Linked DNA regions of Struthio camelus. The protein of the gene in region 4 purifies or fractionates together with the protein of the main gene of each other region. This does not show direct contact. Links are inferred from orthologs where the notes say so. Each region holds a gene or a part of one and is shown on either strand. Other genes may lie near its edges.

Region 1 (7,337 bases), on a different chromosome or scaffold from region 4:
TTATAGTCTTAACTTGTGTTGGGGTAGCAAGTTCAGACTAATTAGGGTAGTACAGAAGATAAATTTTAAAACCTTTGAGGAAACAACTATTGGTTAAATCAATTGTCCTTTTACTACAAGACAGGCCAAGGATATGTCAGTCTTTTTTTCTTTTTTTAACACTTTATCCTTTCTTCTAGTTTTGAAAGCCTTGTTTTCCCTGTTCTCTTGCCTTCCAACTTGACAGTAGTAAATGTTTTCCCACGGAGACTAGAAGGATGCTGCCCTCTTGTATCCCTCTTCACACATTTTTTTAAAAAAGATTCCTGAAGTGTTTTTGATGTATAGTTTTACTTTGTTCTAATACCACAGGCTTACACAACTCTTCCTTTATGCTTTGGACACACTGTGGATTCACAGTTCGTTCCCTCCTACTCCTGTTCCGACACTAGAATGAACTAGCTCTGAAGCTAACTTACAGAAGATATTACGTTAAAAAAGAAAAAAACAACAACAGAACATGCACACTATTAGGAATGCTTAGTTTCTCAGATTTTAATAATCCCACTTCCACCCTAGCAATGGCAGTTTGTCAAATGCCTTGAATGAGCCTGTGTTCTAACGTTTTCCTCTGCACAGTTCCAGCGCCCAATCTTTATCCAGCAAGAAGCAGGAACAGTTTATAGTCCAAAGAAATTGCAGCGTTCTATTTGAGGAGCCAAATGCCTCCCCAAGCCTACCAGGTAAATACCACTTGAGAAAGGTTCCAGGAATACAGATGTTCTCCTAAAGAAAACCCTGGAGGTTGGCCACTGATAGAGCAGTATGAATTCCACACGTGACAGCCTAAATAATGCCTTGATAAGCAACACTATTTGCCCATGGTCATGGTGATGCCACTGCCATCTCAGCCCTCCAGTATGCGATTGATTAGTTTCATTTCCTCAGGAGTCATGGGGTTCAGATTAAATCCTTTCAGCTCAGCTTTACCTGAGAGAAAGCAAGCAGAAAATCAGGGTTTTGCTACAAAATAAGTTAAGTAGCTACAAAAGATGTTAAGTAGCCATCACTGCAAGGACTCTAGAGAAGACAGTGATAGCCCTGGAAGTTGATACAGAGTCATTGGAGTAGCTGGAAAGCCTGTTTAGTCTGCTAGTGGATGACAGCTTTGCAACAAGAGCTGCATGGTCCCACAGCGCTGCTTGAACAGGAACAGAATTGGAAAGCGAGGGAAAAGGGGGCTCTAGGAACATACAGAGCGCAGGAGCTCCTCCTGCCATGTAACATCTGCTCCTGGGTGTTCGCTGAGAAGGTTCAAGAATAAGAGCATCTACCTTGAGCTTCAAAGAGACGGTTGACCTTCACACGCAGCTCTTTCCGAAGCTTGTTTATTTCCTCATCCAAGTGCTCCTGATCTGAGAGAAGGGAGAGAGCGGTAAGGAGCTGTGGAGTTCTGTGGATGAACACAGAGCTACCCCAACTCCTGGCTGCTGCTGGGAGATATTCAGGGTCGAAGCCTGAGCATGGGGTGACAGGAGAGGATGCTTGTGAGCTTCATTCTCCTTGCAACCTCGAGCACGCAGGCTTGTTGCATGTTCTCTGCAGCCTATAGAAAAAGTTCACTTTCTACCAAAACGTGCCTCCCTGCGATGCTCTGTCCAGGACAGCAGAACACGAGGAATGCCAAGAATCTCTATTTTTAACTACAGTCAGAAGGTTTTGTGTGCTTCAAAGCCCAGGACTAGACAGAAGCTTGAACGTACAAAAAAGGACACTCCAGAAGTCTGTCTTACCTTTCTGCATCATCTCCTTAGTCTTTGATTTTGGCAGCTCAATGAACATGTTTCCAAAGCAGACCATTGCTTTATCTGAGGAGGGGGAAAAAGAAGGTCCTTGTGGACACCAATTTTTTTCTTCCTAATATAAAACTATTCCTTTGCACAAGTAGGCTCATGCAGGCCTGGTACCAGGGCCGGGCGTGGGGCGGCCTGGCTCGAGGTAACGGCACACCGGGGCACCCCGGGCCTCACCGTCCGGGTCGGGGTCCTTGTGCAGAGCCCGCAGCGCCTCGCGGTTCCGGTTCCGCTTCACGTCCAGGTCCACGATCTGCAGCGGGAACGGTACGGCTGCAGCGGGGGTCACCCCGGGGGAGCCGCTGCGAGAACGGGGGTCACCGGCGCAGCTGCGGGGGGCGGAAGGGGCGACTGCGGGACGGATGGGGGAACGCAGGGGTTCCCAGAGGGTGCAAGGGGTGACCGAAGGGGTGACCGGGGGCTGGACGAGGGGACCCGGAGGCGGATGGGGGCTGGAAGGTTAGCGGGGCTGAGCGGGTGAGGGCTGCAGGGGCCGTGGCCCAAGGAGACGGGGGGGCCACAGGGGGAAGCAGGAGGAGCTGGGGGGGCCTGGAAGGGTCCGGGAGGGATGCAGGGGGCACCAGGAGGAGGCGGGGGGGGGGATCGGGGCGCACCAGCAGGAGCCGGGGGGCACCAGGAAGGTGCGATGCGGCCACAGAGGGCACCAGGAGAAGCCGGGGGGCTAGGGGGGGCGGAGGGGCCCAGAAGGGTCTGGGGGGCCGCAGGGGGGCACCGCGAGGGGCCGGGGGGGAGCACCGGGGGGGGCGCGGAAGGGGCCTGGGGGGGGCGGGGGGGCGCGGAAGGGGCCGGGAGGCGGCGGGAGGGGCCGCAGGGGGCCGGGGGGGCGCCGGCGGGGCCGGGGGGGCGGTAGCGCACCTGCTGCCGCGCCGCCAGCACGTCCTCGGCCAGCTCCTCCACCTCGGCCAGGTAGCGCAGCACGAAGGCCGGGTCCCGCGCCATGGCGGCCCCGGGGCGAGGCCGGGCCGGGCCCGGTCCGCCGCGCTCCCCGCCGGGCGGCAGCCGCGGCCGCGCACGCAGGTTCCGGGGCGAGAGGCGCCGCCCCGCGGCCGGCACCGGCACCGGCACCGGGGGCAGCGGGACGCTGCGGGGCCCGGCCCGGCCCGGCCCGGCTCGCTCCAGCGCACTGCAGCCGGCAGCGCCTGGCTGCGCCGCCGGGGCGGCCGTCCCTGTCGCCATGCCTGTCCCCAACCTGTCCCCATCCCCGTCCCCATCCCCATCCGGTCCCCATCCCTGTCCTTGTCCCCATCCCCATCCATGTCCCCATCCCGTCCCCATCCCATCCCTGTCCCCGTCCCCGTCCCCATCCCGTCCCCATCCCTGTCCTTGTCCCCATCCCCATCCCGTCCCCATCCCATCCCTGTCCCCATCCCTGTCCCCATCCCGTCCCCATCCCTGTCCTTGTCCCCATCCCCATCTCTATCCCCATCCCATCCCTGTCCCCTTTCCTGTCCCCATCCCTGTCCCCATCCCCATCCCGTCCCCATCCCTGTCCTTGTCCCCATCCCTGTCCTTGTAACCGTCCCCATCCCTGTCCCCATCCCCATTCCCGTCCCCATCCCCATCCCGTCCCCATCCCTGTCCTTGTCCCCATTCCCATCCCCTTCCCGTCCCCATCCCTGTCCTTGTCCCCATCCCCATCCCTGTCCTTGTCCCCATCCCGTCCCCATCCCTGTCCTTGTCCCCATCCCCATCCCCTTCCCAGCCCCATCCCTGTCCTTGTCCCCATCCCCATCCCTGTCCCCATCCCGTCCCCATCCCGTCCCCATCCCTGTCCTTGTCCCCATCCCCATCTCTACCCCCATCCCATCCCTGTCCCCTTTCCTGTCCCCATCCCATCCCCATCCCCATCCCTGTCCCCATCCCTGTCCTTGTCCCCATCCCCATCCCTGTCCCCATCCCCATCCCATCCCTGTCCCCATCCCTGTCCCCATCCCTATCCCCATCCCTGTCCTTGTCCCCATCCCCATCCCCATCCCCTTCTCATTTCTATCCCCATCCCATCCCTGTCCCCTTTCCTGTCCCCATCCCGTCCCCATCCCCATCCCATCCCCATCCCCATCCCCGTCCCCATCTCTGTCCTTGTCCCCATCCCCATCCCCATCCCTGTCCCCTTTCCTGTCCCCATCCCGTCCCTGTCCCCATCCCCATCCCATCCCCATCCCCATCCCTGTCCTTGTCCCCATCTCCATCCCCTTCCCCTTCCCATCTCTATCCCCATCCCATCCCTGTCCCCTTTCCTGTCCCCATCCCATCCCCATCCCCATCCCCGTCCCCATCCCTGTCCCCATCCCTGTCCCCATCCCATCCCTGTCCCCATCCCTGTCCCTGTCCCCATCCCTGTCCCCATCCCGTCCCCATCCCTGTCCTTGTCCCCATCCCCTTCCCATCTCTATCCCCATCCCATCCCTGTCCCCTTTCCTGTCTCCATCCCTATCCCTATCCCATCCCCATCCCCATCCCTGTCCTCATCCCCATCCTCATCCCCATCCCCGACCTCATCCCCATCCCCATCTCCATCCCCTTCCTATCTCTATCCCTATCCCATCCCTGTCCCTTTCCCCCTTTTCCTGTCCCCATCCCTGTCCCTATCCCTATCCTCATCCCCATCCCCCTCCCTGTCCCTGTCCCCATCCCCGTCCCATTGGGCACAGCCATGTCTGCGCTGCCAGGCCCAAGAGCTGCTGGCAGGAGCCGGGGCTGGTGGTGGCTTTGAGCCTTTTGGAGGGGGGAGGCCGGGCACCGGGCCCGAGAGGGGTCACAGCACCGGCACCGGCGCCTCGCGTCAGCCCTCGGGGCGCAGCGCCCGCCTGCCGCCCTCGCTGGCCGTCTCCCCTCGGTGGCCTGTTTGCCGCGGCGGTGGCAGCTGAGGAGCCGGGGAGGTCTTGTGGCGGTGAGTAAACTCCATTAGCGTAATTAAAGAGGAGCTCTCGTTGATGAGAGGCATCATACTGCACACAGGCAGGAAAGGCGAGGGCCCGGGCTTCGCCGGGCTGTGCTCTGCCGGGTCTCCGGGCGGTTGTTGCTTCGCCCTGAGAAGCGATTTCCCCCACGGAAGCGCTCGGGGTCACGCGGCATCGCGCAGCTCCGGCGCCCGGCTCGGGGTCGCTGGCGGGAAAGGGCTTTGTCACAGGAAACAGTGTGGAATTTGGCTCGTGTTTGAATGCACTTGTGCAAGAGTACTTTATTTGTGCAGTTAGGTGATGTCACCGCGTTTGAATTCCCTCGAGCAGGGCCACGTCTCCCAGCAGCTGGGGGACGCACCGGCGAACGGGAGCAAGGCCAGGCACGGCCGGGGCCGGCGGGCGCCCGCAGGAGCTCAGCCTGCCGCAGCCGCTGGCAGCAACCTCGTCTCATGCCACGTTGCAGCCAAACGCGGAGCTCTGCAGTGCTTGCATCCCTCCCGGGATGAGGGAAAGGGTCACAGCTCATTCACTTGGATTTCCAAGAGCTTTTGGCGAGGTTCTTAACAAGATGCTGTCAAAACAAAATGGATTGCCTCGGGGTAAAGAGGTAACGTCCCGTTGGGGTTTGAAAACTAGATAAGCTATAGGGTTGTAATTAGTGACACTTGGCGTGCAGAAGAAAGGCTTAATCGCGAGAAAGTGTGTATGGAATTAATCTGGCATGAGTGTGATGGGTTTGGTGGAGGAGGTGAAAAGTGGAATCACATTTTCTGATGGCCGTTTCGTCCTTGACAGCGTGTGAGGGATTGCGAGTGCCCCAGAGTGACCTACAGCAGCGGCCGATGTCACAGCAGCACGTGACACTGCCCGTGTCCCCCTCTCCTGCGCTGGCATCAATCGCAGGGTTTGCTGCCATCACCCGTGAGCACCCAATTAATTTACACACGCACACCCAATACGTTTGTGCGTGAACAAACGTATTTAGTTCCTGCATGAGCACCCAATTAATTTACGCCTGTGCATCCAGCCAGCTCACACGTGAGCAGCCGGTTAGCACCACGCCGGCGCGGGACAGCCCTGAGGCCAGCGGGCCACAGACAGCGCCCTGTGCCACGGCAGGCGCACTGAGGAGCCTGGAGCGGGGGCAAGCCAGCCGGAGGCACGGAGGAGCGGCAGGCGGAAGCGTTTCGCACACAGCTGCAGTCTCGCGCGCCGCCCTCGCCTCGCCGGAGCACCTGGGATGGACCGAGTGCAACCCCAGCGAAAACAAGGCAAGCCGAGGCCAGGAAGGGGGGAAGAGAGGTGACGGGCTTAATCTGAGGGGGAGGAAAGGGGTTTCCCTATGTGTTTGTTTAATTGTTTATGTTTCCTTTTTTCTCAATACCCAAATTAATGATTAGAAGTTTGTGTTAATTGGCAATAAATTAAGTACAAGCTGTCCCAGTCGAGATTGCTTTGCCCATGGCGCTCCCCACGGTTAACTCTGAACACCAGGACCGAAGCAGCAGAGACCTTGCGGGAACCTGGTTGGCAGCAGCCGCCGTTTCCCTGCGCTTCGGGTGGAGAACAGACAAGTCTGAAGGGAAAGGTGTCTCTCTTTAACCTCTGCCAGGCTGCTGTCAGACTGTGGATCCACCTTGCAGCCAGACATAGCAGTTAGTTACTTTTAATGGCAGTGGTGGAAAAGATAAATCTGTGTCCATGGGATTTCAGTTATCCCATTGCAAATCGAGTTGGTCTAGACTGAGCTGCTGAGTGGCGCTGTGTATCGAAGCGGGTGGCTTTGCCTGCAGGCCTGGAAGGACTCTGGGAAACAAACCTCACCAGCATCTCAGTAACAGGTAGTGAGTGGCCGTAAGCAGGGAGGGAAGTGCCAGCTGCGGGCAGCAGCCGCGGTGGCCCGGGACCAGCAGTGGACCCCGGTTCAAGGATTTGGCCTGGACAATGGTTTGAGGTCCCCTTGGCCTTCAAGGTGCTGAGATTTTCAGATACATCTCCAGCCCTTTGGAGACTCCTGGCTCAGCAGGGCAGAGCATCCCCCTGCAGCAGAGCTGGCGCTGGGCACCGGCACCTCTGCCCCGGGGCACCGGCATCCTGAGTGGGACCTACTGCCGGCTGGGGGCTGGGCAGAGCAAGGGCCGTGCACGATGCATCTGCACCCAGATCCCCCCCAGCCCCACTCTTGCTCAGGCACGGAGGTGCCTCTCAGATGAAAGCCCTCTGCTCCTCCGTATGTCTCTGCGCATGTGAATAATTTATGCTTTGTCATAAACAATCCCTCTTTCCCCCTCCTCCCGTCCTCCTCCCCTCCCAGCAGCATGCACTTGTGTTTGCTTTTTCTTGCTGCTTTCTAACAATGTGCCCATGTCAGGCAGATGGGCTCATTAATAGCATCAGGTTGCCTTTACTTTCCTTTTTTTCCCCCCAGTATGTAATAAAGAGCATTAAAAGCGCAGAGGCAATGAGATCAGATTTCATTTTCTGCAGCTAGGTGGCTCTTCCGGAGCTCAGCCGGCGAGGGCCTGCGGGTCGCAGCGGGAGAACCGGATCCGGCAGGGCCAGCTCGGCCCGGCGGGGCCTC
Region 2 (7,245 bases), on a different chromosome or scaffold from region 4:
TGTTACTCTGCTCTCAGTGCTGCAAAAGGAATTCTGTTTGTGGATCCATGTAAAAACCAATTTACCAGTAAAATCATCATTTTCCCATTTTGTGTTCAGTCTTGAACTAGTTTATAATCAGTAGTAGGTGATTAGAGAACTCAAAAGTGCTACTGCAATAGTACTGGGACACTAGGGAAAAGGGAGCGGGGATTCAGGCTTCTAGCGTTCTATTCCAAGGCTCCGCGACCAGCTCACTGCACTGCCTTTATAGTTTGTCTTTCATACCCATGCCTTGAGTTTTAAATTTATCCGTTTCTAGTATGGGTGTAAGATCATTAGCTTTTATGTAGTGCTTTGAGATCTTCAAGTGTGATCACAACAAAAGTGCAAAATTGCTCTAGTTTCCCTTAATAAAAATAGCTCCACAAGGAAAGGCCAATTCCATTTCCCTGGAGAAAAAAACCTACTTGTACATCACCCCAAAAGATGAGAACTCCCCCATGGTCAGCCTAATTTACACTTAAATCACGCCTGCTCCCTATAGCAAACATTGCAGATGAGAAAAGGCACATGGTTAAGAAACTTTTTTTTTTTTTTAAAAGGGAAACAGAGGAGCAGCTGGCACATTTTCATGTTGTTTTAGCTCATAATTAAATTTCTTTTGCAAACTAAATATTAATAGAAACACTTAACGTGGCTAAAACGTTAACAAATATACTTATGTAAAAATACATACTTCCCTACTGTGCTTGCCATCCAAATTTTGCTAAGCTGGAATAGTGCCCAGACTTGGTGAGATAACATAAACAAAAATAGAAATAAAAACAGTAAAGCCACACTGTCCATTTAAAAAAAACCAGACATGGTAAAACAGACTCGTTATAAATATTTTATGCAGTCCAGAATACCATTAGCAACAAAAGTGCCTTTCTTCGCTTTCAGATATTTAGTCTGACAGCATCCCTTTGAACCATTCTGCACCGATTCACACACCACAAGAAATCACGCGGGCTTTCAACGGATGTAACGCGATACACATTTTGGCCCTTTATACTTTCTGAGAGGTTTAGAACAGTTTGTACACATCACTGGCTACTTTCCTGTTCTGAAACACTTTGCCAGGTTTGGCAGGTTTCAAAAAGAGGGTTTGTATTGCCCTAGGAGCACAGAGCAATGCCAGGGAAGAGAATAAGGCTATTCAAAAGCTGCTCTACATCCAATTTCTTTTGCTTAGATGAAGTGGATCCAGCTCTCCTCACATTCTCTAGGCATCTTAAGGGGGTAATTCCGGCAGGTAAAACTGTAGTTGTTGCCTCTGTTGTTATCCCAATATTCCTGCCCATTGACTCTGTATCTTGCTGCAAATTGGACTACAGAGCACAGATGAAGGAGGAAAGGAGGTACAGGGAGAAAAAAAGTGAAAACATCAACCTGAGCTTGCCCGTTTTTCTCAGGGATGCTGCTATGCCAATGAGCACACACTTCATGGAGGCTTTTCCACTGGTTGAAGGTGTATCGCACAGATACCTGCTTCTCAAAAGCAATATTACAAACTTGGATGGTGCCACTGAGCCCCAAATCTGAATTGGTCACTCGTTCAAGACACACCTGCTGCTCCTGAAGTCGGGCAGAGAAATCCATACAGTCTGCAGGCTGCTGGAAGTCAGGGACCAAGCACTGCATGGTGAACTCCAGGTCCAAGCTACTGCCCCAGAGGTCTGAGTTTATGGAGAGCCTGGAAAGGACATGCAAGGGGATTGACGGATCCTCTCCAGTCTGGAAGACTTTCACTTCAGTCAGCTCCAAGCCCAAAGCATCAGCAAATCTCACCCTGTTCGTACGACCCTCGCATCCTGGAACTCGGCACTGCACTCCTGCTCGCTTTCTTCTTTCAGGTGATGTAGGCAAAGACCTCGCTCGGCGGCGTATGATAGGCCGTAAAGCTGGATCGCAGCTGGTGGCAGTGCTACTCTGAGGCCGATTTGGTTGCGAGCCCCCCTTGGCCGGGATACTGCTCAGAAGACTCACGCTGCTACTTGTGTGAACTGCCTGGGGCCGCTGCTGCCCTCGTCCCGGCTCTGCCTCAGCCTGTAACATGTTCTGATAGAGATTGGAGAGGTAGCTGGGACTCCTCCGAGGACCACGTACCTCCATTCTTAACCGATGACAAAGAGCTGAGGTTGACGCTGCCGATACTGAGTACTGCCTCTCTGAAGCACGTAACTTGGGAACGACAGCCAGAGCAGGAGGGTATTTGGGGTTGTTCTGCTGGTTGCTGCAGGAATTCACTGGAGCAACGAAGCCTTCCGCAGTGAAGGGCAGAAACCTGGAAGCTCTCGCAGCAGCTGGCAGCGAACCGGAGGCTCGTGCATCGGAGGGGAAAGCTGAGGGCCGCCTCACCGGCTGGTGACCTCGAGGCTGTTACGCTGGCTGGAGGAGCTGCTACACAGGCTGGAAAGGGATTCAAGACTATCACACCTGCTGCTGGAGGACCTGAAGCTCTCCTGCAGGCTGGAGACCGACTGGAGGCTGTCGTGCGGGGCGCCGGCGGACTCCAGGCTGTCCCAGAGGCTGCTGGGGGCCCGGCGGTGCCCCTGAAGCGCCCCGGAGCGGGGCTGCAGGCTGTCCTCGCAGGCGCTCGTCGACGCCAGGCTGCCGCAGTGGCAGCAGGGACACTCGAGGCTGTCACACTGGAGGCTGGGCGACTCGCGGCTACCGGCCAGGCTGGGAAAGGCCGGGAGGCTGTCGGGCGGGACGGAGGAGCCGGAGCCGAGGCTGCTGCGGCGGCTGGAGGGCGTGAGGAGGCTGTCGGGCGGGGCCGCGCAGGCAGAGTCGGTACTGTGGCCGGGCGGGGAGGGAGCCGCGCTCGGGGACTCGGCAGCCCACATCAGCTGGCGGCAGGGCAGGGCAGGGCGCTGCGCAGCCGGCAGCCGACCGCGGCCCCACAGCCCGCGGCAACCGGCACCGCTCGCCCCTCCGCGGACAGACCGCCGCCGCCGCCCTCGCCAGCAGCGCATGCGCGTCCCCCCCCCCCCGGGCAACTAATCAAGAGGAAACCATCAGCCGTCCGCGGTGCGCATGCGTCGTCACTCGGCGCGTGCGCATTAGCCAGAGCGACGTCGCCGCAGTCGACTTGCCCTTAGCTGCTGGCGGAGGCAGGTACCGGGCAGGTGCTGGCGGGACCGGGGCGCGGGGGGGAAGACAGCGAAAAAATACACGGATATAGCTCGTTATTAACGCCCTGCAGCAAGACCAAGGGTGGGTGAGCAGAGGTAATTTGGTGCTAATTGTCTGCTACCCTTTGGAAATCATGCGCCCTTGGGAATGCTGTTTTTAGAAGATAAAAAAAAATACTGCATGTTCTGCTGGTAGTATTTTTAGTACGAATTTAAGGGTCCTGGGAGATTTGTTTTGGAACAAGAAGAAGAAAATTAAGCATTCGATAGAGAACTTGCATATCGGACGGTACCAAGAGCGCGTTTCCTGCCGCGGGAAGGACGAGCCGGCGCGGCGCGCCCGGGAGGCAGGCGCAGCGCAGGGCAGCGCAGCGCAGGGCAGCGCAGGGCAGCGCAGCGCAGCGCAGCGCAGCGCAGCGCAGGGCAGCGCAGCGCAGCGGCGCCCGCCCGCCCGCCCGCCCGCCCGCCGCTTGGCTGCGGTGCTTGGCTCCGGTCCTACGCGCGGCGTGGTGCAAGGGCAACACGATGAGGAGCACGCCAGGAAACGAAAAGTAGCTCATGCAATGCTGCTGTACCTTCTCATGCTCCCCCCGCCTCCCCGTACCTTGCCCAAGCATCCTCTCAGGGACGGGCTTGTGAACCGTATGCCGACTGCCGTGAAGTAAGCACAGCGCTGGGGCAAGGGAGAGTGTTTTCCAGGACTGTTTGGGAGCTGATTATGTTACTGCTTTAAAAAAAAATAATAATCACATTGGGAGGAATGGCATGGTGTTTGTTTACTGCATCTCTAGGACGTGGTGATGCCTGCGTTTGATGCGCTGTGTCTCATCAACCCGAAACACTGGAGTCCTTTGAAGGTTATGTAAAAATAAAGGCGCAGACACTCTTCAAAGAGAGGAACAATGGGACCAGGCATTCAGGAACATCCTTTATTACTGCGCAGCGGGACACCGGAAAAGGAAAGCCAAATCAATGAAAACCACAAAGGAACGGTAAAGTAAGGAAATTACCTTCTCTCTTTATAATTAGAGATTTCTCTAAGTACTGTAAATTAGTTAATAAATGCATGACTGTGTACTGTTCAGATTCTCATCCTCCTCTCTGATCCACAGCAACGCAAGCGGTTGCGCTGTTTGATCTTGCAGGTCCCAGCGACAGAGACGACTGCGTCAGTGCTGAAGGCACAAGGCTTATTTGCATGATTTTATCAGCTCTTAAAGTGATGACTATTTTTTAAAGCGAAATCAAACTACACTGACATAACAGCTATGAAGAATATGTGCTGCCTGGCAAAATTAATTGTACTGCAGTGAATCTAAAGTAGGCTGGGGAGATACAACTTGTTTATTTCTGTTCTAAAATGACGTTTTAAAGCTTTCCTTCTTGAAATTAGTAATATTTCTTGTTTGTAGAACAAACACCACTTTCTTGACTCCTACAGCATACACTGTTTTAATGATTCAGTGTGGGTTTTTTTTTTTTGTTTGTTTGCTGCTGTGCTTACAGAGAAAAGTATCTGATCTATTAGAGGAAAGGAAATATTGTGTAATTTAGTTTTAAGCTGTCCAGATCAATAATGTCATTCCTTTCACTTCCGTATGAAGCTTTTCCTTATCAATATTTTGCATGATCCAACAACAAAAAATAGTGAATTTTTTGTTGAATAGTGAAACTGACTTTGTTTGTGCCTTTATTGCAAAATAGTTTCTATTAATATTATAATAGACTATATGCTACCTGTTCACTTTGCTCATTTTCTTCATAGAAAAATTCCTTTAAATTTTACTGAGACTATGCAAATGAGATAGCCAGGCAGGAATTGGCTTGTACTGGTCTTCATATCATACTTAAAGATTACTTCTGCTAAACTGCAGTAGGCCCACAAGTAACAGGTACTACATAAATTAATAGTTAAGTATATAATCTCTAATATTTACTATTTATTATCCCCAACATAACTTTGGTTTCCCCTGACAGAATAGTCTTTATAAGGGCCAAGTTCTCTTATTATATTATCTATTGGAATTTTGCACTTTTGTGTAGTATAAAAATAAAAAGCGACCACAGTATGGTTCTCATGAACTTTAAGTCTCTCCAAGCATAGTTGCCGTCAGCTCTCTCTTTTAAACTGAGTTGCACTGTAAACTTTTACTATGTTTCTGTTCTGACCATGAAATATGTTACTATTGGTGTATGGTATTCTGTTTAATCCTCGCTAGTTACAGCGGTGGAAAAAGCCATCTGAGTACCAAAGGACTAAAGAAACAAATTTCTCATGTGAGATCTTCTGGAAGATTAGGCAAAAATATATCAAATGCCACTGAAAAGGTAAATCATTCCAGTTCCTTGTTTCCTTACAGAAAAAGAGTACTTAGTTTATATCAGCTTTCTTGATCGCAGTAGCAGCATCACATACTTTCCTATCTTTCCAGACTTCCCATGACACTCAGGACGATAACCAACCATGTATTTTTTACAAGGAAAGAAACCAGCTGGGTGACCACATTCAGCCAAGCAGGTAATTTTATGTTAAGGTTCTCTGCTTTATTTGTAGACGTTTCAAATTGGTATGCAAAATGGTTGTGATGAAATCATGGGTTCATTGATTTCTATAAGAATTTTACCTTTGGCTTCACTGGCCCCACAATTCAGCATTTATGAGGAAAAAAAAACTTAAGTTATTAATATGGAAACTTATTATACTGCTTCAATGAGCTTCTAGGCAAAATCAGAATAAAATAAGACAAAAAAATTATCAGAAAAATAATTACTCATGATAGCGTCCCTGAGAATTAAGAATCAACATAGGAATTTTCATGGAGAAAATACCTTTAAAAGATCCATTTGAAGATGAGGAGAGTTTTGGATTTAAGAAGTATTCGAGAACAAGCTCTTGTGGCAGAAAGTATTCGAGAACAAGCTCTTGTGGCAGAAAACATAACCCAATGTGTGAGAGAAGAAAACTGATACTGGGAGGGGAATGCGAATAGTGAGAAAAGACTGAAAAATGAAATGACTATGGCGTGTAGAGTTTTAATAGTGGATAAAAAAAATCAGAGAGCGTTCATGGTTGGGTTGAAGAAGTTAATGGGAATAATATTGCCAGATACAAGATTCCTTGCAACAGAATGGAGTGGATACAAGCAAATATTACGAGCCTAAATTTAATCTTAGAACTCTATTTTGGGAGCTTGCTACTTTAAGGAGAAAGTGAGAAAGATTTACTGAAATTAGCGTCCTCTAGAAAAATGGAAGCTATTTTGGATAAGTTAAGTTTGGTAACATACTAACATTGTTTTTACTGCTGAATCTTGACTCTTTCCACAGTGAGGTCTCTGTAAACAGAGATTGCTGTTCATGACCTCTTTTTGCACTCCTCATCATACAAAATTTTTCCTATTCAGTTGTCCGCTAGTCCCTCTCTGTTTGAATGCAGGCACACACAGTTCTCTCCGTTTATGCGGTACTGTTTCTGACGTTTGCTGTTACATTTCCTCTTTTAAGACAAAATAACATCTTGAATTTAGTATTGTACCTCAGGATATTTTGGGGTGAATGCTACCTTTTAATTTGTGATTGATGCACATGTGTATTCATTTGGGAACTATAAGCAGCAATAAGTTTTTATTTTTAAACTATTCAGCATTCCTTACAGAGAGGGTCACATTCTCAACTGCTATAAATGAGTGAAGTGAAGGGGGTTGCATCAGTTTATACCATTTGACCATGAAAGCTTGATTGTTTTGTCTTATGTCCTAACTATTAATTCTGGCCATGGTCTCTGTCTTTAGACTGAATTTCTATTTTATGTGTAACAAGCATTGCAATGTATATCAAATAAGTCAAACCACAACACAGGGTAGCAGGCAGTGTTCTCTTTGCTAGCAAATATTAATCTTACCTCATCAGTAAGTTTTCATGCCAATTTTAGCTTAATTCACATAGATCCAAGTTCTTGTAAGACAGTAGCAAGTCCTTTGTAACTTGTTGTTCCAAATACATTAATCATTTTACTTGTATATGCTCTTTCTTCCTGTTCAGAACGATGAGCGTTTGCACCTCATTGCACAGAGTACAAGGATCAAAG
Region 3 (7,793 bases), on a different chromosome or scaffold from region 4:
GCTACTGCCAATGGGTTGAGCTAGCCTGGTTAATCGGTTTCTTTAGCAGAATAGTGCAGCCTGATGGGAGTTCTGCCATGGGAGCTGAATTAAGCATAATGTCACTTTTCAAACCAAGTTCCCAGGCTTTGAGCAGCTTCCTGTTAAATCATCAGGCTTCATAGCTCATGAACACTTCACTGCCCTGCATGTCTCAATCTGTTATATCAATACATACTTGCAAAGTTAAGGGAAAGTATACATTTACTCCCTTAAGAAAAGGCCTTACACAGTTATAATTCACAGAGATATTACTATATCATACTACATACCATTCATATAAGAAACATACTGTCTAATTCTTTTTAGCATTAATTATTAGATTTTTCTGAACTCATCTAACACAAAAGGTCAAAAAAGGTAACATACCAGTCCAATTCTTAAGCAAAAGAGGCTTATGCATTATCCATCAGTCCTCCCAGCACAGCTGAAATACTGGCCATCTTCAAACAAACTCTAACAAACGATAGCGGTCTTACAGATAAGTTTCTACATCTCTTGTGAAAACTGGCAACCGTGTAAAGGCAAGGCCCAGTTCAATGGCCCACACAGCGTAAAAGACTACAGCACGAGCTCAGGTGTCACCCATTTTGCTTGGGCTGCCAGCTTACTAGTGAAACAGAGCAAGAGCTGTTCTTTGCCCAGACAACCAGAGGGATACAGGACAGAATTCATGTGCAAAAAACAGAATTGTTTTTGTTAAGGGTATGTAAGGAAGGAAGACAAATCCATGGGAAAGTCTATTTAATTCCACTGCTCACAAAATCAGTTGCATTTATTTAATAGCCTTATACTCTTAGCAGTGACCTGCAAGAAGGAGGGCTGTAAGGTGGGAACATGCGTTTGTTCTCATTTTTCTCCCTTTAGATACAGGAGAGACTTGTAACTCTCTAGATAAGGCAATTGTCCTTGGGTGGAAGGGAATTTACTTTTAAACAGCTTGCACTTTAATGGAAAAAACATAAGTTTGCTACTGTACCCACAACTTTGTTGGTACCACTCAAAACATACCTCTGTCAAGGAATCTGCAGTCTCTGGATCTGATTTTGCAAAGTATTATCTGAAGGCAGAGCTCTTTGCAAGATCAAGGTCTACACAGTACCTGTAAAATTAATACACTCATGTCACCAATAGCAAGGAGGAGAAGCTTGATAGAGACATGAGCACTTTTATGTGTTCAGACAGCTTCATTCTGTTCACTTAGTTTTAGAATTAGTTACAGATTTAGGAGTTAACAGAGAGCGTTTGTTAAGATTCATCACTCCTCCTTCTTTGATGAAGAGTAGAAAAAGCTTTCAGCTCCTTTTGTGGAGCAGGGAAGGAAATGACACACAGATCTTGATATTACTAAGATGCAGAGAGGAACAAGGCAAAAATTAAAGAATCTCAAGTCCTCTATTTCTCTGCATCTGTCACAAAGCAACGCGTTTATAGCATTTAGCTGTTTTCCTTGTTTTCTCTTCAATGTACCATTCCCCTTCCCAGTTCTTCTCTCTCCTATACTGAATTTCTTCCTTAAAAGTGTTCATTTTAATTGCTAACGTTTTTAAGGACTCAGGGGAGAAAGGGCAGGAAGTCAGACTTTTGGGATAGGGTAAAAATGTAAAGGTCATTCACACACTCACACACACATACTCTCTCTCACTCTAAAAATAATACACTATTTGACAGTTTCAGGATTCAGCATGTCCCATTGAAATTTGAAAGCTTATGTGAAACTAGGCCATGTCCTGTAACCTCAAACATTTAGTCTAGGAAAACAGCTCTCAAGTCTCCAGCTCCCACATCGGGTATCACATGACGTCTGTGCCAAATAAGAGACCTCAAACGGTTTGGCGGGGGGGGGGGGGGGGGGGGCCGGGAAATGTTGGTAAAATGAGTTGATTAAACCTGGGGAATAGTAGTTCAGACTGTTAGCGAAAGGTATTATTTTTCTGGTTAACTGGATAGTGAAATATTAAATTATGCTCAAAGCATCTATAACAGCATATGAGATGGACAGAATGGTCTCACAACCTACTTATGTTCCGTTTGTTGGCATGGACAAAGGAGAAAGATGACTCATGCCTTTCAACAAAATAATTTTACCCTCCCCTGCTCTAATAAGTATGTTAGCTATTCGAGATCACAAAAGTCACATTAGGCCGCAGTTCACTATTTCTCAAGCTGATGCATCATAACTACACATTAGACATCAACTTTAATAGACCATTTAAGCTATTTAAGTTCCACTCTAAGCTTTCCAGTAGTTCCACTTGTACTCTGCTCTTTCTGAGGAATAAACAATTAATCCTGTGTGGTCTAAAGGACTATTGTTTATTTTCCCTCACCTAAAGGTACTCCTTTCTGCCCTTTAACTGCATTTTCAGTATGGTGCTCAAAGAACATATGGAATGAGTAAAATAATCAATACAATAAAATGTGCCAAACCAATCATAGCTTATGGATGAGAGAAAGTCTCTTAAATTGATACCAACTCAGGCAAGTAAGAGGGAGAAACCAGCCTCACTTCTGCCAAACAAACAATTGTTTACTGTTTTTTTTTTTAATTGAAATATCAGCTTTTACTGCAAATGCAAACCCAAACCATTTTCATAACAATCTCTGCAGTCAGTACTAAAATTGTGCCTTCAACACGGCACTAGTTTTATTTACTGAACAGAGGTGGTCACTAGCAGCCTGACTGTTAGGCTCTATTCCAATTCTATTTTGGAAACATTATGTTGTTAGACAAACATTTAACACTTCTGTTTTTCAGTTTCCTCTCATGCTAAATGGCTACACTACTGATCTTTATCAAATACTCTGTAAACTGCATTAGTATTTCTAGAGTTCAAGATTCTTCTGCAGCATATCTGGTCTTTACACAAATGGAATATTTCTCTTCTTCCTCTAAATTATAACGATAGTTAACAGCAATTCTCTGTCCTTGCCCTCTACATTTTTATACTCAGAAATCCATCACAGAGAAACAAGGAAATGTTACCAAGTAAACTCTGGAACACCGTAGTCTCAGAAATGGCCTAACTGCAACTTCAAACAAGATAATGACTTAGACTGAAATCTGTCCATACACTCCATTTGAACTAATGGCTATGTATTTCACCCGCTACCAGCCCTTCTTTTTTAAAAGGAGGGCCATGCGTAGCAGAAGTCTTAGAGAATTTGCTATTTTTTTTTCCTAGAATCAGCAAAAACTTGAACTCTGACCGGACTTACCCACAACACTTGCAGCAGTTCAATGCACTAGAGAAATCAAAGCTGTTTATTTGCTCTTATACAAAAGAGAATTTGCAGTTTAGTATATTAGGCATTTGTATTCTGTGACTGATATAGCCCCAAAAGGATGTAAAGAGCCCAATAGTATACATACTTTTTTAATTACTTAAAGGATAGCTTATATTTATTAGGTTCAAGAGGAATTCTTAGCTAAACAGTCACAGAAGATGATACTCTTACAAACGTGTTGAACTATGCCATATGTGTGCAATTATATTCTAATTGCAATTTAAGCTAGATTATGTAAATATAAATTGATAGAACAAGTTATCAAAAAAAGAAAGCAGCAAATAACTTTTTTTCTTTTTTAAATGAATAACAACTAATGGAGGCCCCTAGACAAAAAGAAGATGACTAAAAGTGTTCACCAGGCTTTTGTAAACTCAAATACAACACCCATCGCCTCTAGAAGCCACTCTCATAGCTCATACTATCACCCAGCTGCTTTGGCAGTTCGCCCTGGCAGGCCACAGAGGAGCTGAACGGGCATTATCCCGTGGCACACCAGACAGCAACCCAGCATCTTATCGCACTCACCCGCTAACCTTGAACACTACAAGCACAGCCGCTGCTTTACAATCAAGTGCACAAACTACAACAAATTCACTGGAAGAGAATCTCCTTTTTTGGGACAGCAATCCCAACATTTACAAACGGGGATGATAAACACTAGTAAATTGCTGGAATAGCAGCTTCCGAGGTCCTGTCTCAGATTTCACAGTCAGACATGTCCATCTCAGGCATTTGAACCCTAAACAGCAGAGGCAGCAGTTACTGCTAGACCACTATCACTTGAGCAGTAGGGTATACAAGTATAAAAGCTGTAGCCTTGCACAGCTAAGGAAACAAGGGTAAACTCTGCAGCTACCTGTTGAGAAAATGAAGTATTTTTCCCTCCACTTCAGGAGATCATAAAGCCCAGAAAGAGGGCATTTTTGGTCTAGGCACAGCACACGCGAGCTGTATGAAAGCCAAGCTAAAACCACAGCTGCTTAAAGAAATGCTTTGGATATGCAGAAAAACATAACTATTTCTCAGTTAGGTGGAGAACCAGAACTCAGCACAAGACTCCCAGCAGACAAACACCGAGCAAGCCCTCCTCGAGGGGGCGGCCCGCTCTCGCAGCTAGGCCTGGCGCTGGCTTCGGGAAGGCCTCGCTCCCCTCGCCCGCCTGCCCCGTGGCCGGCCACAGGACCCTGCAGAGCCCCAGGCTGGTTAAGCGAAGGGGAAGGTGACTGCCGAGCAAAGAAAAGCTGAATTTCCCCTCCAGGCGTCACGGTACCCGCCCAGTCCCTCCACCGGCCCTGCCTGGCCCCGGCCCGGCTCCTCCGCGGTGCCCGCACCCGGCCGGACCCTCCCGAAGCGCCGCGCGCGGAAGCGGGTAGACGGACTCTAAAAGAAAAGCACCCGCCCGGGGTGACAAGCAGGCGCCGCGCCCAATAAGCATCGGGAGCGGCGGGGCGGGGGCCAATGGGGCGGCGGGGCGGGCCGAGGCGGCCGCGCGCCGGGAGCCTTGGTAACGCGCGGGCCGCGTGCGGGGAGTGCGGCGCGGAGCGGAGCGGCCCCCGCCATGAAGATCGAGGAGGTGAAGAGCACCTCGAAGACGCAGCGCATCGCCGCCCACAGCCACGTCAAGGGGCTGGGGCTGGACGAGAGCGGCACGGCCAAGCCGGCGGGCGCCGGGCTCGTGGGACAGGAGAACGCGCGGGAGGTGAGCGGCGGCGCGGCCTGCCCGGCCCGGCCCGGCCCGCTCGGGACGGCGGTCTGTGCGCGCCGGGTGCCCCTCTTCCCCTTCGTCCCGCTCCCTTCGGCGAGCGAGGCTCGACCCGGCCTCCTCCGCTTACTCCGCTGCTGCCTGGGAAGCGGCGCGGGCAGCCCTGGGCTGCTCCTTGTGCCGCTACTCTTGTATCACCCGGCGCCGCGGGCAGGTGACAGCGTCCCGGGTTTTAGGCGTAGAAATTGAGGTATGGAAAGCAGGAAAGCCCGCCTAAAGTCAGCGATTTGGTGCAGCTAGGGACCGGCGCTTCAGTTGCAGTCTGACGGCTGGCCCCGGGCCGGCGCTTTAGCCATTCTGTCTTTCTGAAAGTCACAGAGCCGTTTCTTGCTTCATTCTTAAACCTTAGTGTGTGTGTGTAGTCCTGGGAGGGACCGGGGGATCCTGGGACTGACGGAAGTCTGTGCTTCTACATCTGGGTTTTGTTGCTTGTGACTTTTTTCTCAATCTCTTCAGCAAATAAAATGATTGCAAGAAGTAGGTCTCCCTGATCTTGCTTCACTTTTATATGCTTAAAACTGAAGTCTTCTTTAATTTTAGTGGGTTCTCAAAGCCTAATATCTCTAAGTACTTTAAATAACACTGGAACGAAAGATACTATAGCAATGCGTTTCATAACAGTTTAAATGTTTACTTAATTTATAGGCATGTGGGGTTATAGTGGAATTAATCAAAAGCAAGAAAATGGCTGGAAGAGCTGTGCTGTTGGCAGGACCTCCTGGAACTGGCAAGGTATTATTTTTCTTTTGATATGGAGTAAAGTATCCCCAAATTATTTTAGGTCAATCTGTTGTCAAAACCATTGTAGGGCAGTAGTTGCAGGAGGTTTCCATCTACTGGAGGTTTTTTCATGATTGTATTGCCATGGTTTCTTGCTTTATGTTTTGATTTTTGCCATGGCTTCAACAGTAGCGGTATGCAGTGGTTTGTTCAGGCATCATTAGCGTGAAACTATCTTATATAGATTAACCAAACACATATGTAACGTGCATTCTGAAGAAAAGTCTTAGAAGTTAATTTAGTATTAGAGGCCTTAAAAGTTTTTGCTTTGTTTTGTTTTTCTCTTGTTATTTAACGCTTATTGCCTTTTGTACCAGATGTCAAATTCAAATGCCTGGTATTGTTTCTTTAAAGTGTTGTGCAAGTCCTAGATAAAAGCTACTTTATGTGTGTTGAATTTGTTTGGTGTGGGGTGGTAGTTATATGTGAGAAGTCTGTAAGTCAGACAGAACAGGAGTAGTATTAAAGTGATGGTTTGGATGAAATAGGATATGATGAGTGAAGTTGGTGCTGTGGAGAAAGAATCCTTTGTTCTCATGAAAAATGAAGTGCGTAATTTTTTTCCTTTCTTTTGAAGACTGCTTTAGCTTTAGCTATTGCTCAGGAACTGGGAAGTAAAGTTCCCTTTTGTCCTATGGTTGGAAGTGAGGTCTATTCCACTGAGATCAAGAAAACAGAAGTCCTAATGGAAAACTTCCGGAGGGCAATTGGTAAGTTTCAGAAAAAATAGAAGAATTAAGTATTTATATGATTTGTGACCCTGCTTGAGCAGGGGGGTTGGACTAGATCATCTTCAGAGGTACCTTCCAACTTCAGCCATTCTGTGATTCTGGTTTTGTTTTTGCCCCGTAATCTAAAAAGGAAAAGCTTCTAAGTGGCCTTGGTGGCTGTCAGATCACAGCCTGTTCTTCTTTTCAGTGCTCATCTTAACTGGGTGAACGTCTTCCACCCTTAATGGAGACGGTAGGGTTTTCTGCATATAAGACATAATTTAGTCATCATATCCCACAGTTATTTTGGTTCATTCTTCTTCCCCAGACTCACTTCTCAACTTCCAGATTCATCTCCTGGTTTTGTCTGTGGCTCTCAAAAAAGCTGAAAGAAAAGCTATTTTAGTTTTTTTATGTTAACAGAAATATTGGTAGACGGCAAAGTGCTCTCTCCTTTTTTCTTTAATGATTTCACCGTAGTAAGCAAACAGTCTTAAGCAGGGACTCCCAAATGGCAACGTTCAGCCTAACTTATTATTTCGGATGAGCACAAAGTGAGTTCCATGCCAGCGAAATAAATGCCTTAACCTAATATCTTCCTCAGCTCTAGAGGAAGACACAAGGCTTTTACAAGCTTGATATAGGTTGGTTAAATTTGCAACACAGCCCACTGAGTATCTACAATCTTTTATATGATTGCTGCTGACAGCTGATAAATGCAGTTAGAAGTGGACCTTGTTTATGAGGATTGCCTAAAGATAGCCTAGTTGACTTTAGTACTGAACGTATTAACAGTTAATTTTCTTGGCTTCTGTATCATTATTCCCCTCAGACTTCATCTAAGTATTTCATAGCAGTAAGGTGAAGAAATCTCTCAGTGGTGCAACCAAACAAAACTATTCCGTTGACTTTCATAAGAAAGCAATTTTCAGTAATCTCTGGTCTTCTAGTCACCATAAATCTGGCAGGGCTTGGGGGAGGGAAGCCAGACTCTAAGTAGTCTGCAGTGTTTCCTTGATGTGATGAAGTTCCCTGTCAGAGATTTTGAAACTTGAACCAACAGATGAAACTTATGCCATCTGTGTTGTCATTTCTAGAGATAGCAGTATTTTAAATCTGTCTAGTTAACAGCCAGCTACATTGTTAGTTCCCTGCATTCCCTGAATGTCAGTAGAGAGAAAATTCTAAACAAATATTGGTGTTAATGAAAG
Region 4 (7,043 bases):
TGGCAGCAATGGGCAAGCAGTTGAAACAGTCGGTGAAGGTCTTCCAGAGCTTGATGTTGTACCGCCGCTTGCCTGCAAGGCAGGTGGGCATGGCTGCCTCGCGCTGCCACCCAGGGGAACAAGGGGGTGTCCGGGGCTGCCCCCGGCCTGGCGCTGCCCTCGGCACAGCCACAGGGCTGGTTGGGTGGGCACACGTGCCAGGTGATACATCCAGAGCTGCATGGGTGCCTGTGGGCCCTAGGCACAGCTGTGACTGCAGGGGCCAACGACATGGGCTGGCACTGGCTCATGCAGGGGGTGTCCTGGGGCACACGGCCCTTTGTGGCCTCTGCTAGGGGTGGCTGGCACAGGGGTACAAAGGGGGTGCAGGGACAGGCGTAGGGCATTCCCCCTCGGCAGAGAAGCAGTCAGCGTGGTTGATGCTGGGTGGTACGTGGGCATGAGGGTGGCACCAGCACTCATGCCCGTCACAGGAGCCATAGATGCGGCTGATGCTGGGGCACACAGGGATGGCACGAGCGACACGGCTCTGGCAGAAGCACTCACACTCATCATAGAAGCCGTAGATGCGGTTGATGCTGGCACACTCGTGGTTGCCACGCAGCAGGAAGAAGTTCTCGGGGTACTTGATCTTGTACGCAAGCAGGAGGCAGATGGTCTCCAGCGACTGCTTGCCTCGGTCCACATAGTCCCCCAGGAACAAGTAGTTGCTCTCGGGGGGGAAGCCCCCGTACTCGAAGAGCCGCAGCAGGTCATAGTACTGCCCGTGGATGTCCCCTGGGGGAAGGGGGTGTCAATGCGACCCATAGCCCCCCAAGGCACCCTGCAGCTGGCCCTAGTATTGCCCATGCACGTCCCCTGGGGAGCACAGGGGTGTCACTGGGACTCCCAGCTTGCCACGGCATCCCAAACCTCCCCCCGCAGCGTCCCTCAGGGGCTCTCCCAGCCGCATGCCAGGGTGCCCGGCCGGCGCGCTGCCCAGCTAGCGCTCACCACAGATCTTGAGGGGCGCCTCCAGCTCCAGCAGGATGGGCTGGCTGAGGAAGATCTCCCGTGATTTAAGGCACAGCCCTCGGATCTCGTTCTCCGTCAGCTGCACATTCTTCCCTGGCCGTGACCCCTGGACTGGCACCGCAAGAGAGAGCGAGACAGGCATCAGGCACCCAGTAAGGACTCCCCACGCCCCTCAGAACTGGCACTAGGGAAGAAACCGGTGTCAGCGACACTGGCACAACCTCAATACAGCCAGAGACAGCCACCCTGAGCGCACCCACACAGCACGCTTGGACAAGACGGACATGAGAGAAGCAGCACCCACAGGCTGACAACGGAGGAGACGGCCCCTGCCTGCCCCCAGGGTGGGCACGGATCAGCCCTCCCCCCTCTCCTGCCAGAGCCAGGGTTGTGCTAGGGCATCACAGCCTGTGACCCTGCTGGGCCTGAGGCACAGGGACTCCCTGAGGCTGCAACACACCCATGCCCCCCCTGCGCCCCCTGAGCCTCCAAACCCCTTCCTCCTCGCTGATCTCCAGCCTGACCTCCTGGTGCCCACCAACCTGGCCCCCCTGACTCCCAACACAGCCCCCACCCACAGCCCCTCCACACCGCCTCCGGTCCTATCCCGAATCCAGCAGCCCCACTGTCAGCTCCTCACTCCCCTGAGCCCCAACCTCAACATCCAACTCCAGAAGTCCCTGCCACCCCCTAAATCCACCTTGCACCCTCCGTACAGCCTCCAAACCCCATAGCCCCCCAAACCTAACCCCCAGACCTCTGCACAGCCCCTGAACCCCACAGCCCCCCAGACCTCCCTGCTGCCTCCCAAGCCTCCTAGCCCAATATCTAACCCTCACCTTCTGCACAGCCCCCCCATCTCCAGCCCCGCAACAGCCAGTCCCAAGATCCCCATCTCTATCTCCCCCAACATGCAGTCCCCAGGCCCAAGACCTCCTATCCCCCAAAGCCAGCCCCTCAGTACTCCCAGTCTCTCCCAAACCCAAATCCCAGCTCCAAGACCCCCCAGTTCCTCCCAATCCCCCAATACCCAGCCCCTAGGCCCCCCAAGACCCATCCCCACAACCCCCAGCCAGGCTCAAGGTCTGGACCTAATGCACTGGTACTGCATGGGGCCTTGGGGACCCCACCTATTGCCCCCCAACCAAGCAACTGCCCCCTAGGGCTTGCAGACTAATAACCCCTCTAAACAAGTACCCCGGACCTGACACTCTCTCCCTCACCAAAACCAGGCCTAGGAAACCCCCCCTGGGGTCCCCAGCACTGCCCCCCAGTCCAGTCCCGACACGGGCTAGGGGGTGGGGGCCCAGGACGGAGCAGGGTGGCCCTAAGGCAAGTCCAGGGGGAGTCCCTGGGGCAGTGGGGGGGGCTCTGAGGAAGTTGGGGAGCCGGAATGGGGGTGTTTGAGGCAGTTGAGGGGTCCCCAGGGCAGCTGGGGGGGCCCTGAGGAAGTGTGGGGGGGAGGAGCCCGTGGGGGGGGGGTGAGGCAGTGGAGGAGGGCATGAGGAAGTGGGGGGGAGTCCAGGGAACTTGGGGACCCCGGAAGCAGTAGGGGGGGGCCGGAGGCAGTTGGGGGGTCGGGGCAGCTGGGGAGGCCCTGAGGAAGTGGGGGGGGCGGGGCATTTGGGGGGGCCCTGAGACTGTGGGGGGGGCTCTGAGGCAGCTGGGCGGGCCCACAGGCGTTTGGGGGGCGGCGGGGCACTTGGGGGGCCCTGAGGCGGGGGGGGGGGCCCTGAGGCGGTGGGGGCAGTTGGGCGGGCCCGGGGGCAGTTAATGGGGGCCCGGGGGCAGTTGGGGGCCCGCGGCCGCGGGAGGCCCCGGGGCGGGCGGGGCCGGGGCCGCGGAGGGCCCGGGGCAGAGCCGCCGCCGCCGCCGCGGCGCTCACCCTCCAGGAGGCGGCCGATGATGGAGTCCAGGTTGAGCTTCTCGGTGTCCGCCATGGCCGCCAGCCGCCCCGGACGCCTGGGCCCCCACGCGCGCGCGCCGCCCGGCCCGGCCCGGCTCCGCCCCGCCCCGCCCCGCCCCGCCCCCGCCGGGCGCGCGCGGCCGCCGGCCAGAGGCGGCGCCCCCTGGCGGCCTGGAGGCATCGCGCCGCCGGCAGGGGACGGGGGACCGGGGGATGGGGGGATGGGGGACACTGGGGCATGGGGACACGGGACAGGGGACGGGGGACGGGGGGGACAGGGGACAGGGGGACAGGGGGACACGGGACACGGGGACACGGGGACTTGGGACACAGGGGCATGGGGACACGGGACAGGGGGACAGGGGGACAGGGGACACGGGGTCAGGGGGACTTGGGACACAGGGGCATGGGGACATGGAATAGGGGATGGGGACATGGGACACGGGGATGGGGTCGGGGGGACAGGGGACACGGGGGACATGGGACACGGGGACTTGGGGACATGGGGATGGGGGAGAGGGGACACTGGGGCATGGGGACAGAGGACAGGGGATGGGGCGGGGGACAGGGGGCATAGGGACACGGGGACAGAGGATAGGGGGACACGGGACAGGGGACATGGGGATGGGGGACATGGGGACATGGGACACTGGGGCATAGGGACACGGGACAGGGGATGGGGGATGGGGGACAGGGGGACATGGGGACATAGGGACACGGGGACAGGGGTACATGGGACACTGGGGCATGAGGACATGGGACAGGGGACAGGGGATGGGGGATGGGGACAGGGGACAAGGGGAAATGGGTACAGGGGAACACAGGGACAGGGAGACATGGGACATGGGTACACAGGACATGGGACATGGGGACGGGGACAGGGGACATGGGGATGGGGACACAGGGACAGAGGATGGGGACACAGGGATGCTGGGACATGGGACACTGGGACAGGGGACATGGGGGCACAGGGACATGGGGATGGGGGACACGGGGACATGGAATATAGGGACATGGGACACAGGGACATGAGGACATGGGGACATGGTGCACCCCCCCATCATGGGGACATGAGGACGGGGGCAGCCCACAGCACAGGGACACGGGGCCCTGGGAGCAGGGGGCCCCCAGCGGGAGGGGGCTGTTGCAGGGCAGGAGCCAGGAGGTGGGGGTGCACGTGGGGGATGAACCCCCTGGGGCTGGGGGTCCTGCGTGGGGCAGACCCATGGGACCCTCCTGAGGGACAGACGCCAAAGGGTTTGGCTGCTCGTGGGAGTGGGCTCATGCAGGCATTGCCCCCACGTGGGGGAGGCCCCAACCCTTATATAAGACATCAGAGAATCTACACCGCCCCCCCCCCCCCCCCGAGGCAGAAGGGCGAGGGACCTGGCAGGCGGCAGTCGTGGCCATGTTTCGGGAGGGCCCGCGGGGCGCCCCAGGGAGGAGCTGCCTTTTCCCGCAGCGACGGGCCACCTACCCTTAACTCTGCCCACGGCCCGTCGCTGCCGTGCCCGCACCCACTGCTGGACGTGGTGTCCCCAGCTCGCTCTGTGTCCCCTCGATGTCCCCGGCTCGCTGAGGGGCTGGAGACCGTGGAGGACAGAGGCTGGCAGGGCCCGGGAAGGGCAGGGCAGCGCAGGGCACCGGGGCCAGCACCACATGTGGCACCACCCGTGGCACAGGACATGGGCGCTGGCACTGGCGTGGCCCAGCAACCCCAAGGTGAAAGCGCTGCGCCCCAGCCCTGCCCGTGCACCTGCACCCCGTCCGTCTGTCCATCCATCCATCCACCCTGTCGGATGGGCACTGTCTGCTCTCTGCCCCTGCCACCGTCCTGCTCGCTACCCGGTGGCCCATCCCATGTCTGTCTGTCCTTGCCCAGCCGTCCGTCCCACCAACCCTCTGTCCATCTGTCCAGCTGTCTGTCCCCCGACCACCCAGCCCCATCCTCTCCCACTTGGGCTGCCCCTGCCACCCTGGCGCTGGGTACACACTAGCACACAGGCTAGGCACAGGCTGGGGGAGGTCCATGGGGTGGAGATGGGCTGGGAGGTGCCCACGGGGTGGGCACCAGCTGGGAGATGCCCCCGGGGTGGGGATGGGCTGGGAGATGCTCATGAGGTCGGGATGGGCTTGGAGGTGTCCATGGGGTGGGCACCAGCTGGGAGATGCCCACGGGGGGGGGGGGAGGGGGGATGGGCTGGGAGGTGTCCACAGGGTGGAGATGGGCTGGGTGGCACCTGTGACCGGGTGGCACAGCTTGGCCCCGGGGTAGAGAAGCGGGAGAGAGCCTGTGGCGCTTCGGAGGAGAGTGGACCTTGCAGGGCTGGGAGAGAGGGCAGTGCCCATGGGCAAGGTGGGGCATTTGGGAGGAGCCATGGGGAGGGCAGGGCCAACCCCCACAGGGGGCGGAGCCTGCAGGGAGGGGTAAGGCCCAGAGCCTTCCTGCTGCTGTCCCTTGGTGGTTTCCAGGGCCCCCCAAATGTCCCTTGGCAGCTTCCAGCTCCCCCCCCACTGTCTCCAGGTCCTTTCCAGGGCCTCCCAAATGTCCCTTGGCAGTCTCCAACCCCCCACAGCTGTCCCTTGGTGGTTTCCAGGCCCCCCCAGCTGTTTCTTAGCAGTTTCTGGGCTCCCCCAGCTGTCCCTTGGCAGTTTCCAGAGCCCCCTAGATGTGCCCCATTCAGGCTGTGTGGTGGCTGCGGTGGTGCTGTGTGGGGCACGGCCAGGGAGGGGGCACAGGGCTGGCCCGCAGCGGGACACAGGGGTGCAGGCTGGGCACCCCGTCCTGACGACACCTCTGCCTGGCTGTAGGGTGTCCGGGGGCCCGCCTGGTGCCCGCCCGCAGCAGCTCCCCGGGGGCGGCACAAGCGGCTGCCGTTCGGCGGCGGTGTGGGGGCACAGAGCCCCTTTGTGCCACCCTGCCCTGGCCCCACGCGCCGCCCCCCAGCCCACCCCGGGCACCCAGCCCAGCCCAGAGCGGTGCACCGGGTGCTCCCCCGGTGCCTGCTGTTGCTGACGGTGACGGCTGTTGCTGTGACGCTGTTGCCACCCCCGCCTCCCTGGGGGGTGCCCGGACACCTGGGTCCCCCGTGGCACACCGAGGCCGTGGCAGCGGGGCAGGGGTGGCACGGGGGAGCGGAGGGGGGGGCTGAGTGCCCTTTGCCCCCCACCGCATTCGGGGGACAGCTGCAGCCCCCCGTGCCCCGCTGCTAATTGCAAGGGCTAATTAGTCCCCGAGGTGAGGGCGCCCAGGCAAACAGGCAGCGAGGACGGCCGGGCGCCGGCAGCGCCGAGAGCTCTGGGCGCCAAAGCGGGCCCCTCCCGGGCTGACCCCCCGGCAGCTGGGAGAAGGACCCAGGCGTCCGAGAGCCCGGGCCGCCGCCCGCGTCGCCCCGGGGCCGGAGCCCAGCCCCGTACGAGCCAGCCGAGAGTCCCCGCGGGCGCCGCGCCGCGCCGTCCAGAATAGCTCCCGGCCGCGGCGCTGACATTTCCCCGCCGCCTGGTGTCGGGTTGTCGGCTGTCCCCAGGCGACCCGGCGCCGGCCGTCCCCAGCCCCGGCCGGGCCCGGGGGGGCCGGGGGGGGCCAGGCTGCTCTGCGCTGCGCCAGTCCCCGCACCCACCCCCTGCACCCACCCCACTGACCCCCTGCTCCCCGCACCCCCTGCACCCACCCCCCTGCTCCCCGCACCCACCACCTGCACCCACCCCACTGACCCCCGCACCCTGCCCCCCCGCACCCACCCCCTGCACCCACCCCACTGCCCCCTGCATCCCCTGCACCCACCACCTGCACCCACCCCACTGCTCCCTACACCCTCTGCCCCCCCCACCCACCCCTCTGCCCCCCTGCTCCCCGCACCCCCTGCACCCACCCCACTGACCCCCGCACCCTGCCCACCCCGCTCCCACCCCACTGCCCCCCTGCTCTCATCCCCTGCCCTCCTGCTCCCCGCACCCCCTGCACCCACCCCTCTGTCCCCTGCACCCACCCCATTGCCCCACTGACTCCCGCACCCCCTGCACCTCTTGCACCTACCCCACTGCCCCCCTGCACCCTGCTCCCACCCTACTGCCTCCTGCCCCCTGCCCCCTTGCACCCACCCTACTGCCCCACTACCCCCTG

Evidence for each region.
Region 1: the proteins of PPP1CA (region 4) and PDRG1 purify together in Homo sapiens (affinity purification with mass spectrometry; 4 studies listed by BioGRID and IntAct, counting the BioPlex papers as one, with this or other methods). This does not show direct contact. The link is inferred for Struthio camelus from reciprocal best matches to the Homo sapiens genes PPP1CA and PDRG1.
Region 2: the proteins of PPP1CA (region 4) and PPP1R3D purify together in Homo sapiens (affinity purification with mass spectrometry; 3 studies listed by BioGRID and IntAct, counting the BioPlex papers as one, with this or other methods). This does not show direct contact. The link is inferred for Struthio camelus from reciprocal best matches to the Homo sapiens genes PPP1CA and PPP1R3D.
Region 3: the proteins of PPP1CA (region 4) and RUVBL1 purify together in Homo sapiens (affinity purification with mass spectrometry; 4 studies listed by BioGRID and IntAct, counting the BioPlex papers as one, with this or other methods). This does not show direct contact. The link is inferred for Struthio camelus from reciprocal best matches to the Homo sapiens genes PPP1CA and RUVBL1.

The regions. Positions count from the first base shown.
Region 1 is NC_090959.1:18,591,663-18,598,999, forward strand, and holds PDRG1 (p53 and DNA damage-regulated protein 1), read right to left. Parts: upstream 2,870-7,337; 5' UTR 2,793-2,869; coding exon 2,709-2,792; intron 2,086-2,708; coding exon 2,010-2,085; intron 1,848-2,009; coding exon 1,773-1,847; intron 1,395-1,772; coding exon 1,314-1,394; intron 970-1,313; coding exon 887-969; 3' UTR 520-886; downstream 1-519. UniProt on the Homo sapiens protein: May play a role in chaperone-mediated protein folding.
Region 2 is NC_090959.1:14,321,120-14,328,364, forward strand, and holds the start of PPP1R3D (protein phosphatase 1 regulatory subunit 3D), read right to left. Parts: upstream 3,002-7,245; 5' UTR 2,137-3,001; coding exon 1,213-2,136; 3' UTR 1-1,212. Other genes in the region: protein FAM217B, read left to right, coding at 4,061-4,155, 5,378-5,486, 5,591-5,676, 7,200-7,245. UniProt on the Homo sapiens protein: Seems to act as a glycogen-targeting subunit for PP1. PP1 is essential for cell division, and participates in the regulation of glycogen metabolism, muscle contractility and protein synthesis.
Region 3 is NC_090955.1:7,416,961-7,424,753, forward strand, and holds the start of RUVBL1 (ruvB-like 1), read left to right. Parts: upstream 1-4,787; 5' UTR 4,788-4,888; coding exon 4,889-5,029; intron 5,030-5,737; coding exon 5,738-5,824; intron 5,825-6,449; coding exon 6,450-6,582; intron 6,583-7,793. UniProt on the Homo sapiens protein: Possesses single-stranded DNA-stimulated ATPase and ATP-dependent DNA helicase (3' to 5') activity; hexamerization is thought to be critical for ATP hydrolysis and adjacent subunits in the ring-like structure contribute to the ATPase activity.
Region 4 is NC_090946.1:3,707,766-3,714,808, forward strand, and holds the start of PPP1CA (serine/threonine-protein phosphatase PP1-alpha catalytic subunit), read right to left. Parts: upstream 3,019-7,043; 5' UTR 2,955-3,018; coding exon 2,900-2,954; intron 1,126-2,899; coding exon 994-1,125; intron 778-993; coding exon 547-777; intron 73-546; coding exon 1-72. UniProt on the Homo sapiens protein: Protein phosphatase that associates with over 200 regulatory proteins to form highly specific holoenzymes which dephosphorylate hundreds of biological targets.